Linked DNA regions of Callithrix jacchus. The protein of the gene in region 1 binds, or shares a complex with, the protein of each later gene. Links are inferred from orthologs where the notes say so. Each region holds a gene or a part of one and is shown on either strand. Other genes may lie near its edges.

Region 1 (3,649 bases):
TACAGGTGTGAGCCACTGCGCCTGGCCAAGCAGGTTCTATTATCACCATTACTTTGTAGCTGAGGAGTTTCAGGGAGCTTGGAATTCAAATTCAGATCTGATTGCATGGTGGTTTTTTTCATTATATCCTGTTCAGGGGAGGGGGAGCAATTACACATGTGTTTATTCGTTCACTCAGCAGACATTTTTGAGCACTGACTCTTACTACTCCTGGTTAGATGGTGGGAATAGGAAGACAAGAAGCAGCCCCGTTTCTGCAGAAGCTCCAAGCTGAGGCTAAGGGACTGAGCATTATCATCAGAGCTGTGACAGCAACGTGTAGAGCCCTAAGAACTGTTGCCGTCCTGGCTTTCCTTGGGGCTTACCCCGCCTCCCGGTAGTGAACGTCAGAGTCACTGCCTCCCAGAGTGGGCTCTCAGCACTTGGGACTGTGTGTCTCAAAGCCTCCTTTCTTCTCTCTGAACAGGGACTTCAAAATGAGTGTCCCTGACTACATGCAGTGTGCTGAGGACCACCAGACGCTGCTCGTGGTGGTCCAGCCTGTGGGCATCGTCTCTGAGGAGAACTTCTTCAGGATCTATAAGAGGATTTGCTCTGTGAGTCAGATCAGCGTGCGGGACTCCCAGCGCGTCCTCTACATCCGCTACAGGCACCACTACCCACCCGAGAACAACGAGTGGGGTGACTTCCAGACCCACCGCAAAGTCGTGGGCCTCATCACCATCACAGACTGCTTCTCCGCCAAGGATTGGCCGCAGACCTTCGAGAAGTTCCACGTGCAGAAGGAGATCTATGGCTCCACGCTGTACGACTCCCGGCTCTTTGTCTTTGGGCTGCAGGGGGAGATCGCCGAGCAGGCACGCACCGATGTGGCCTTCTACCCCAACTATGAAGACTGCCAGATGGTGGAGAAGAGAATCGAGGACTTCATTGAGTCCCTGTTCATTGTGCTGGAGTCCAAGCGTCTGGACAGAGCCACAGACAAGTCTGGGGATAAGATCCCTCTTCTCTGTGTCCCGTTTGAGAAAAAGGACTTTGTAGGACTGGACACAGACAGCAGGTAAGTTTACCTAGAGACCCAGGCCCCTTGGCTTCCCTGCATCAGAAGGGGAAAGCACATGGCAGAGTTTTGTTGCATCAACAAGTAGAAAGGTATTGTCCATTGGTTTCTAAAACTAAGGACTTTGTGTCAGAATCTGTTTGAGTGCTGCTAAAAAACCAGCCAAACAAAACCCAGTGACTTTTAAAGACAGAGACGGGCTTTGGTTTGGGGGAGTCTTTTGGAGTTTTCTTGTACACTCCCCTTTTTTACTGGGGGTCCCCTTTTGGGACTCCTGGAGCTCTGTCCTATGCAGCAGCTACAGCCAGGTGCGGCTTTTGGGTACTATACACCAGGCTAGTTTGAGTTGAGATGGGCTGTGAGTAAAGGCCATGCCGGATTTTGAGACTTACTTCTGAAGAAGTAAACTTTCTTGCTAATTTTGTTTTTTTTGAGACAGAGTCTCTGTCGCTGAGGCTGGAGTGCAGTGGTGTGATCTCAGCTCACTACAATCTCTGCCTCCAGGGTTCAAGTGATTCTCATGCCTCAGCCTCCCGAGTAGCTGGGACTACACGTGTGCAGCACCACACCTGGCTAAGTTTTGTATCTTTAGTTCAGACAGGGTCTCGCCATGTTGACCAGGCTGGTCTTGAACTCCTGGCTTCAAGTGATCCACCTGTCTTGGCCTCCCAAAGTGTTGGAATTATAGGCGTGAGCCACTGTGCCTGGCCAACTTTCTTGCTGACATGTTTTATATAGACTGCATGTTGAAATGATAGTATTTTCCGTATCTTAGGTTAAATAAACTATATTTTAAAAATTAGTATCGACTATTTGATTTTTACTTTTAAAAATGTGGCAACTAGAAACTGAAATTTACTTAGGTGGCTTGTGTTTTATTTCTGCTGGACAGCACTGTGCTAGAGCACAGCTGGAACACTTTTATTCAGTCTCATCCCTTTGGTTCATAGATGAGAGGGTGAATCTGGAGAGGCAAGGACCAGATCCTAGCTGAGCTAGAAGTGGAGCCCACGTCTCCTGATTCCCAGGCTGGGCACCCTGTGTGTGTGGCTACTTTTTCTTTCCTGATGGCCGCAGCGTCGAATTCCTCACTTACAGAGCAGCCAAGCATGGGCATCAGGATGCCAGAAATACCACCAGGGAGCTCTTTAACAGCTACGTTACACAAACGGAAAGGATGCCTATTCTCTCTGTGTACAGGGAGTGTTGGATAGGGCAGGAAAAGGTCAGTTTCCCATCTTGCCTGTTATTAAGTCAAAAACTTTATTTCGAATCTGAATCACTGATGAGGTCTTCTTGCCACGTACTTCCACTCTCTACTCACTGCCCTGTCCTGCCACGGTGGCTCTCCGGCAGAGCTGGATGGGATACAAGCTTAGGCAGCAACTGTTTGCCAAGAGGGCATCCTCATTTGCCAGGGAAAGTGAGGTGTCACTCACCAGCCTCCTGGCTGGGGCAGGGCTCTCCTTCCGCCTGTGTAGGCTTGGCTGATGAGCCATAGGTGCGGAGTCAATGATGTAATGTGCGTGGTGCCATAGTGCCTGCCGCAAAGTAGATGTTCAGCATGTTTCTTAAATTTGTCTAAGGTCAGATGGTATACTTCTTTCTGGTTGTTGGTCAGTCTGAGGAGAAATGATCACAGAATTGACAGACTGAGTCCAGGCCTCAGTGTTGGAAGCATAGAGTAGCCTCAATCACACCTGCCTGTGGTGCTTTGCAGGGTCTGGAAGGAAAGAATTTTCATTTCTTCATCCAAATGTGCATATGTGGCTTAAGGAAGGGGAAAGGCGTGTTGTAGAGCTGCTCTGTGTTGAATCCTCATGCAGCCCTGCGATCCATCCAAATGGGATTGCTGTGGTGGCTGATAAGGGGCTGGAGCAGCAAGGTTTAGAGGCCTGGGCAGCCAGCGAGCAGCAGAGCTGATGTAAGCACCGGGTCTGTCTCTGAGGCCCAGGGCCTTTCCACCTCATCTCATGGCCTTCTGCTGTGCCTCCTGTGCCTTTTGAAGAACGCACACTGCTGTCCAGCCAGCAGGCACCTGCAGAGTCATCCCTGATAAGGTGGTGCTGTATGGTGTGCACCACTTGGCGGCCACCTGCAAGGTCGGCAAGGAGCAGCCTGCCCCTGCTTTACAGAGAAGGGGTGAAGGCTGAAAGCTCATAGGCAGCATGGGTCAGGAACCCTGCTCTGACCCCTTGATTTTTGCCTTCCTCCTTTGCCTCAAGGGCACCAGTGACATTTTTCAGTCATCCACTTCTCGGCTATAAGGCTGCAGAGCCACCTTTGAATGCCAGGTCTTTTTTGTCTTTGAAATCTGGGCTCACCACTCTGCAGGAATAAGAGTGTGCTGGAACACAGTGCCTCACATATAGTGGATAATGATTGACAAGTGTTGGTTGAGGGGCTTCATGTGCCAGGCATGGCTCCAGGCACTGAAAATACAGTGGCGAATAAAGTTGCTTGCTCACGCTAGTGGGACAATTGCAATTAGACATCAGTTAGCACTTGAACTTCAGTGAGATAATGACACCAATGAGCTGGAATCACATGTGTCCTTCTCTTGTGACAGGTAACCTGTTGTTGCTTTTG
Region 2 (3,649 bases), on another chromosome or scaffold:
GCATCTTGTCAACTTAAACTCAAATAACTATATATAGTAATTACATGGTAATGTTAAATCTTGAAGGGTTCCCTGAGTTTAAAAAAACAAAGAAAACTATGTTAAATACATATATCTTGTAGTATGTGTAGAACATACTGTATAGTGCACCAAGAATATGAGATTAACACTAAAACCCTATGCTTTTTTTCAAGACAGAAGATAGAACTTTAAGATATTTAATATCCAATGATGTGAAAACACAGCTCTTTAATCTGTTCCATGATTTATAAAAAGGAAATATTCAAAAAATAGAACATACTAATATGGTTTTAAATTGGCAGCAGACAATCAACGGTTAAAATTTACTTAGTTAGAATTTACTAAATTTGCATCAATAACAGAAAAAAATACATACAGTCTAAAAATTATCAAAAGAAAATATATCAGAAGGGAATCAAGTTGTTTATTTTTGACACTATGTTAGAGATTAAAATAATCTAAATTTGTCATTCTTACAACTGGCTAAATGCCTTTACGTAAAGGTACAGTAAACCTAATTAGAAAATACCTCATTATTGCTCATTTTTTTTTTCTATGGAATGATTTAAGCAAGTTTTCTAATTGTTTACCAATGCTATAGCCTTTACCTGTGTGACATCCGGGAAGAGCACCAATGCCATCTACTGTCACAGAGCCCTGAATAGTGCCAAGATTATAAACAACTCCCAGAATATGCAGCTCCCCTATGTGATGGGGAAAGAGCTTTAGTCTTGCCTGTGGAGATATTTAAGTCACTCTTATTATGCTTTCATAATATCTTAAATAGCACAATGCCTAATTCTATAATGTTGCAAAAACATAAACTTATGACCCAAACTTTAAAATGCCAATTAATTTATGAAAAGCATCTTCTTCAAAATAAAATCTCTAAATTTAACAATTATAGGCCTAAATCCTCAATAATCACTTTTCATAAAAAGCAAAATAGTGTGGCCAACTAAATATCAGGTGAAATTACCACACTGACATCAAGAAGAAAGCAAAAACCATTCAACAGGCTTCTCAGGAAACTAATGAATCAAAGACCACTACAAACCACCAATTTCCTCCTGAGTAATTCCTGTTTCCTAATCTTCCAAATTTTAGTTCTTATGAAAATTAGAATATAAACTGAATAAGTGAAGATGATTTTAAAATTTGTTTTCATCTTACTTTCAGAAAGGCATAAAGCAGAGAAATGATAAAATAATTACCACTTTTGATTCTTCACCATTAATTAAGAATTCTGAAATAACTTCAGTTCCAATCATTTCAGGTTCACTTGTAACCTAAAAAATAAATTTCATAAAACATACAGTCTAATGATCAAAAAGCAGATTATTAACACTCCCATATATATCAATACTCCAAAACAACAGCATTAAAGTCTGCATTTACTAGGTTTTTTTTACCACATGCTAAGCTCTACACAGAGTGTTTTTATTTCCACACCTAGAGTAAACCCAGGCTGTAGTAGGCCCTCAACATATGCACTCCAGCCTGGGTGACAGAGCAAAACTCTGTTTCAAAACCCGGGGTTGGGGCGGGGAGCCTATTGAAGATATCTCCACCAAGACAATAAAAAACCCCTGGAGAAAATACCCAGCTGCTCATAGGCAACAATGGCCAAAATGGTCATTTAATTTAATTTTACAATAAGAGCAAATTTCTTCTTTTGCTCTGACCAGACTCTTTTGCAAAATTCATCAGTTACATAGAAAAGGTAATGGTGGGCTAAGCATGATAGAGAAAGACAGGTGAACAATAAGAGCAGTAGGAGAGAGGGGGGAAAGGCCTGTTTTCCCCAAAGCAACGACATTTGTCTTGTCATGTTGCAAAGAAGAGTTAACTGGCTTATACTGGAGATAAACCTGATCCTCATGAACACTATTACACTTTTACCATGACATTATTTAACACAAGAAACCAAAATTATGTCTCCCTAAATTCCAGTTAAGCATCTTAGTCCATTGCCATCTTAGTCCACTTCTTCATTTCTTAGTCATGAAGAAATCCAAAGAGTTTGAAATTTATAGAAAAAAAGAGTATTTTTTAAGAAATACTTCATCACATAAAATGAAAATGTTCACTTATCTTTAAATCTCCTTTAAAAATCTCCCATAATGAACAGACTAATATACTTTAAAAAGCTAATAAATGTTTTAAAAAAAAACATTTCCAAGTTTAATTGCTTGTACTTTTTTTTTTTCTTTTGAGACGGAAGTCTTGCTCTGTCACCCAGGCTGGAGGGCAGTGGCATGATCTCAGCTCACTGCAACCTCCACCTCCTGGGTTCAAGCGATTCTTCTGCTTCAGCCTCCCAGGTAGCTGGGACTACAGGTACCCACCACCACACCCAGCCAATTTTTTTTATTTTCAGTAGAGACAGGGTTTTGTCATGTTGGCCAGAATTCCTTAACGTCATGATCTGCCCACCTTGGCCTCCCAAAGTGCTGGGATTACAGGTGTGAGCCACCACACTCAGCCATACTCTTCTAATCAGTATTCAGGCTTCCAAAACTTTAGAAAAAATGCAGAGTTTGCTAAAATTCAAGACAGGATAGGTACAGCCTGAGAAATCTCAGTCATTCAAATTATCAACAATGATTATAAATAACACAAAATATCTTCAATAAATTTAACCAGCAAGACTTATTTATTTATTTAATTTTCTTTGTTTGTTTTTTGTTTTTGAGACAAGATTTTGCTCTGTCTCCCAGGCTGGACAATGGCATGACCTTGGCTCACTGCAGCCTCAACCTTTCGGACTCAAGCAATCCTCCCACCTCAGCCTCCCAGGTAGCTGGGACTACAGATGTGCACTGTCACACCTGGCAAATTTTAAATTTTTTTGTAGAGATGGAAGTCTCACTATGATGACTAGGCCAAAGCAAGACTTAAAATAAGGCAATCTTTAAAAAATCAAAACACTTGAGCACCAAAATGCTGGGGTATTTTCCAGTTCCAAAATCATTTTTTTTTTTTTTTTTGCCACATTATTAAAGCATTTAGCAAGGTTGTATAAAAAAGCAAGTTATGTAATACATACTGGTGAATAAACTAATAAATTAGTAGGTAAATTATATGTATTTGTCCAAGTTATTTCATTTATAGTCAGATAGGGATTAATAAACTATTTGACCAGATCATTTCTGCTTCAAAATTAACTATTTTAGGTATATGTAAAGGACTTATTACAAGATATGGAAAAGAAAAAAATACAAATTATGTTTTGAATAGGCAATTCACAAAAGAGGAAAAACAAAGAGTTTCAACGTCACTAGCAATCAATGAAATAAAAAATAAAACAGTAATATGGCATTTTTTAAAATATCAAATCAACAAAATTTTTTTTAAGTAACACTGCTGACTATCACAAAGATGAGACACTCAAACCCATATGCTGCTTAGTAAGAAGCTCATTGGTATGAACTTCTGTGAAACCAGGAGGGCACTAAAATACTCATTCCTTAAAATCCTCCCTTCATGCCCTGGGATCTTCCCCACAGAATAATCTAAAGATAAAAAGCCACACACAAAAATGTGAACCACAGAATTATTGTGATAGTCAACAAATGGGAACTTGCCAAAGATAGTAAACTAGCTTATGAATCACTCATATAATGAA
Region 3 (4,211 bases), on another chromosome or scaffold:
TCAAGCAATTCTCCTGCCTCAGCCTCCTGAGTAGCTGGGACTGCAGGCGCGCGCCACCATGCCCAGCTAATTTTTTGTATTTTTAATAGAGACAGGGTTTCACCTTGTTTACCAGGATGGTCTGGATCTCTTGACCTCGTGATCCACCCGCCTCGGCCTCCCAAAGTGCTGGGGATTATAAGCGTGAGCCACCACACCCGGCCTGAGTAGTGCACTTCAGCTGTCTGACTCCCTTAGGATCGGCCAAAGGTGCCCTAAGTCAGGGTCATACCTAATGCATTTCTGCAGGTGCCCAGCCCTGTGTGGCAAAAGAAGCACTACCAAGGATGGGGTTATCATGAAAGCCAGCGCCGCACCACTGGTAGTACAAGACCAGCATATGCTTCCGAATGAGACTCAGATGGGAAGACCCTGGGGCTTCTAGGGGTCTCCAAAGACTGAAGATTTCTGGTGGAGAGACCGCCCCTCTTGCGCATCCTGCCCAAAGTGCCTGCCCTGGCCTTGGGCCAGCAGAAATGGCATTACAAGGACTCAAAACTACATCATACCGAACGACGCCGCTATCCAGGTTCCACCGGGGTTTCCAGGACCACGCACCTTTCCTTCATATCTGTGATTATTTAGCTTTTCCCTCTACCCTTTATTGATCTTCGTGACAGAAATGGTTGGGTCTGGTTTTGATCAGTTGTACCCTGCACGGCACGTGGTATGGAGTTAAGGCTGGATGAATATCTGTTGAGTGGGTGAAATTTTAGAGATTACATTAAAACTCAAGTAAGCAATGGCCAAGACGTGAGACTCCTATTCAGCCACTGTTTGCTGACATTACCTGGCAGAGCCAAGAGGGGCTTCATGCTTTGGGACTAAATCCACCCACCTATCATTGATATTATCTGTATCATCAATTTTATTATACAAGTACTGCTGGTGCATGGTAAGAAACGTAGAAAATACAGATAAACACAAAGACAAATCCCTAGAAACACTGATTTCTAGGTTATGTTGGCCAAGAGGAATAGCCTAAGCGTTTCCGTTTCATCCGCCCCATCTGCCACAGGCTTGCCTATTGCCTCTGAGTGATAGCATCAGGCTAGATTGAGTGTAGTCTCTGTTCCCATTTCCAACCACAGGGTCCGTTCCCCTCAACTACGGACTCCTGGTTCTCTGGGCACGTTCAGACCTTGGGCTCCAGGCCCTGCCCACGGCAGACGAGCCGGAAACGAACCCCACTTCCGGCCTGGGGCTAGGGCCACCTCTTCCTGCATCGGGCATGCGCGGAAGTAGGAGCGCGGCGGCCCGCTATGCGCAGGCGCACAAGGCCGCCGGGTGCTGGCTCGGCTCCCTGATTCCTGGCTACTGTCACCTTCCTCCCGGACCCTGGTCACGGCCGCAGGTGACCCCTTCCCCCAGCCCCAGTGGGCGGGTGGCAGGTGAGGATCAAGGCCTCGGCTCAGCCCGGGGGCTCTTCTCTGGGACGGATGCTGTGGGCGTGGGGTCCGGGCGCGGGTCGCCTCCCACCCGAGAGCGTCTGCGCTCCGCGGGCCTTGTGCCAGGCTCGGTGCTGCCGCGGCCCTCGCGCTCCACGTCTGCAGAGGCTGGAAGCGTCTCCGCAGCCCGTGGCGGTTGCAGGGAGGGGAAGCTGCCCGCTGGCGAGCCCAGGCGTCCCCGAAACCCCCAACTCCAGGCTCGGTGCCAGCCTGGCCCCCAGCAAGCCCCGTAACTTCTCTTAGGCTTAATTCACCCTCGTGCGGAAAGAGGTTACTAATGACCTGCCCTGCCAAACTCAGCGTTGTGAGGCTGCAATGCAGCGTGAAAGCATTTCAGTCACTGTAAATGTCCGCTGTTGCTTCACAGTAAATATGTAGAGTATATCTACGGTGAAGACGGTAAAAGCATTTATTCGACAGAAAGCGATAGCGTCAAAGATTTGTTTTAACGTGTCATTTTTCCACTCTTGACTACAAGACTTTAGTGGCCCCAAGGAAAAATTTTCTTGGACCTACGGTTTGTACCTTTACTTGAAGACATGGTATTTTTGGATTCAAACATTCTTCTTTTCGTAAATTCAGAAGATAGCGGTGAATAATGAGCCAGGCCCCTATGTGGGATTGGGGTGGGAGAGGGAAGATGCAAATGAAATATTACAGTCACGGTGTCACTCATTCAGTTATTTCTAACTGGATCTTCACGGTGACTAAACTGTGCTGCCATTCTGCTTTCTCGTTAAAATGATAATTGCTATGCTTGTATCTGTGCAGCTCTTCACACTTTAAAAGATGTCCGTGCATGGGCACCACTGCTTAATCCTCTTTATTCTGAGGTACCAGTCTCTTCTAAAAGTTGGAGATTTTCAGGGGTCACTTCACTTGGCTGTGAAACTAAGACTCAACGCAGTTACTGAGACCCTGCATTCAGAGCTCTTTCTGCCCATCCCTGCCTAGCGACATTGCCAAGAGAGCGGAGAGGTGACCAGCACAGAGAAAAGGTTATTGGCAGGAAACCCTGTGTGGGTAGCCTGTCACCATCAGGTATCATCAGTGTGACGTTAGGCAAATCACTTGGCCTTCTCTGCTGTATGATGGAGGTAATAATAATACTTCATAAGTTTATGATGAGTATTAAATAATACAGATAAACTGCTAGATCTGTAGTGAGTGTTCATTACCTAGAGACTTCTATTAATACATGCTACCTAGATTTCCACTACACACTCTAGTGCCCCTATGGAAAGAAATTTCATGTGACTGCAATTTGGTAAAAGATTTATATTCACAATGTCTGTGTCCAGAAAATGAACCTGAGAAAACAAGTCTTAAATGTTATTAGGAACTTTTTATTTCTCAAATACAGAATTACTTAAATTTAGTATTTTTAAAAAATGTAAACAGTTAAGCACAGTCTTGTGCAAAGCCCTCAGACAAGGAAAAAGTCAGATTATTTGCTGCACTGTGATGCAAAGCTTATGTAAGCTTAAAATTCCATTTATGGTTTAATAAAACTAAAGTCCATGACAGGAGGGAGTAAAGACTTATGTACAAATCAAGAACAGATACCTGTGTTTTTCCATTTTTGATTATGAAAGATAAAGACTACCTGTAACTCGTGAGATTTAAAGAGCAAGTTAACCCAGTCTTCCGTTACCAGCATGAGATGGGACCACTTGCCACTGCTGTGAAACTCACATGTGTCCCTCCCCAGTCAAATTCTCATGCCATCACCTCCCACCCCTCCTTCACTATAGTGGGTATATAGTGGTTTTTACTGTATCCTGGCTTTTCTTTTCAGTTTGACCAAATGTGTTTGTGTTCCTAACGCAAAAAAATGTGTTTGAATTCAACATTTGTGTTTAATTTACATTTGAATATACAGAATCATGCTGTTTATTTTTCTACTCATTCTTTGTGCAAATTTTAATTTGTGAGATCCAAACATCATTGATGTGTTGGATATGGAACAGTTCACTGATTTTCACCACTGTTTCAATATTTTCTGTTTTAGTATACCATGCTACTTATTTACTTATTATTTCGTCTACAGGCAGTGTTTATTTCCACTTTTTCTTTTAGGGCTTTAGAAGAAAGGTATTTTGATTTGTTTATGAAAGTCAACATCATAGCTTACGCTGCTCACGTACAGGAATTCCTCCATGGTATGTATGTAACAATGCACTAGGTCCTAGGTGCTGTGACCGCGTATTTATTGTTTCAACCAAGACTCCTTTTAGAGTGAAAGGAGACACGTAATGATTTTACCTGTGGCACAGTGCCTCCCACCGGTAATCTCAGCACTTTGTGAAGCCAAGGCAGGAGGATCTCTTGAGTCCAGAAATTCAAGACCAGCCTGATCAACATATTGAGGCCCCATCTCTATGAAAAATACAAAAATAGCTGGGTGTGGGGACACACATCTGTAGTCCCAGCTGCTTGGGAGGCTGAGGCAGGAGGATGGCTTGAGCCCAGAAAGTTGAGGCTGCATAAGCCACCTTAGTGCCATTGCACTCCAGCCAGGGTGACAGAGCGAGACTGTGTCTCAGAAAATAATAATACTGATAAAATAATAGTAATAACTTAGACCATGGGTGAAAACTTGAATCGTTCTGGGGAAAATCAAGATGTATACTTACCTACGTGATAGGATTTGTGCTTTTTAAACTTTACTAGGTAATACCAAGTTGTTTGTCAGCATGTATGTTTCAATGTATACCCACTTCA

Evidence for each region.
Region 2: TRAPPC9 (region 1) and TRAPPC8 share a complex: the UniProt entries of both Homo sapiens proteins name them as parts of the multisubunit TRAPP (transport protein particle) complex. The link is inferred for Callithrix jacchus from reciprocal best matches to the Homo sapiens genes TRAPPC9 and TRAPPC8.
Region 3: TRAPPC9 (region 1) and TRAPPC12 share a complex: the UniProt entries of both Homo sapiens proteins name them as parts of the multisubunit TRAPP (transport protein particle) complex. The link is inferred for Callithrix jacchus from reciprocal best matches to the Homo sapiens genes TRAPPC9 and TRAPPC12.

What each region holds. Positions count from the first base shown.
Region 1 is NC_133517.1:57,087,732-57,091,380, forward strand, and holds part of TRAPPC9 (trafficking protein particle complex subunit 9), read left to right. Parts: intron 1-466; coding exon of another isoform or gene 467-476; coding exon 477-1,060; intron 1,061-3,649. UniProt on the Homo sapiens protein: Functions as an activator of NF-kappa-B through increased phosphorylation of the IKK complex. May function in neuronal cells differentiation. May play a role in vesicular transport from endoplasmic reticulum to Golgi.
Region 2 is NC_133514.1:74,973,376-74,977,024, forward strand, and holds part of TRAPPC8 (trafficking protein particle complex subunit 8), read right to left. Parts: intron 1,311-3,649; coding exon 1,236-1,310; intron 757-1,235; coding exon 630-756; intron 1-629. UniProt on the Homo sapiens protein: Plays a role in endoplasmic reticulum to Golgi apparatus trafficking at a very early stage. Maintains together with TBC1D14 the cycling pool of ATG9 required for initiation of autophagy. Involved in collagen secretion.
Region 3 is NC_133515.1:111,639,051-111,643,261, reverse strand, and holds the start of TRAPPC12 (trafficking protein particle complex subunit 12), read left to right. Parts: upstream 1-1,311; 5' UTR 1,312-1,393; exon of another isoform or gene 1,394-1,430; intron 1,431-4,211. UniProt on the Homo sapiens protein: Component of the TRAPP complex, which is involved in endoplasmic reticulum to Golgi apparatus trafficking at a very early stage.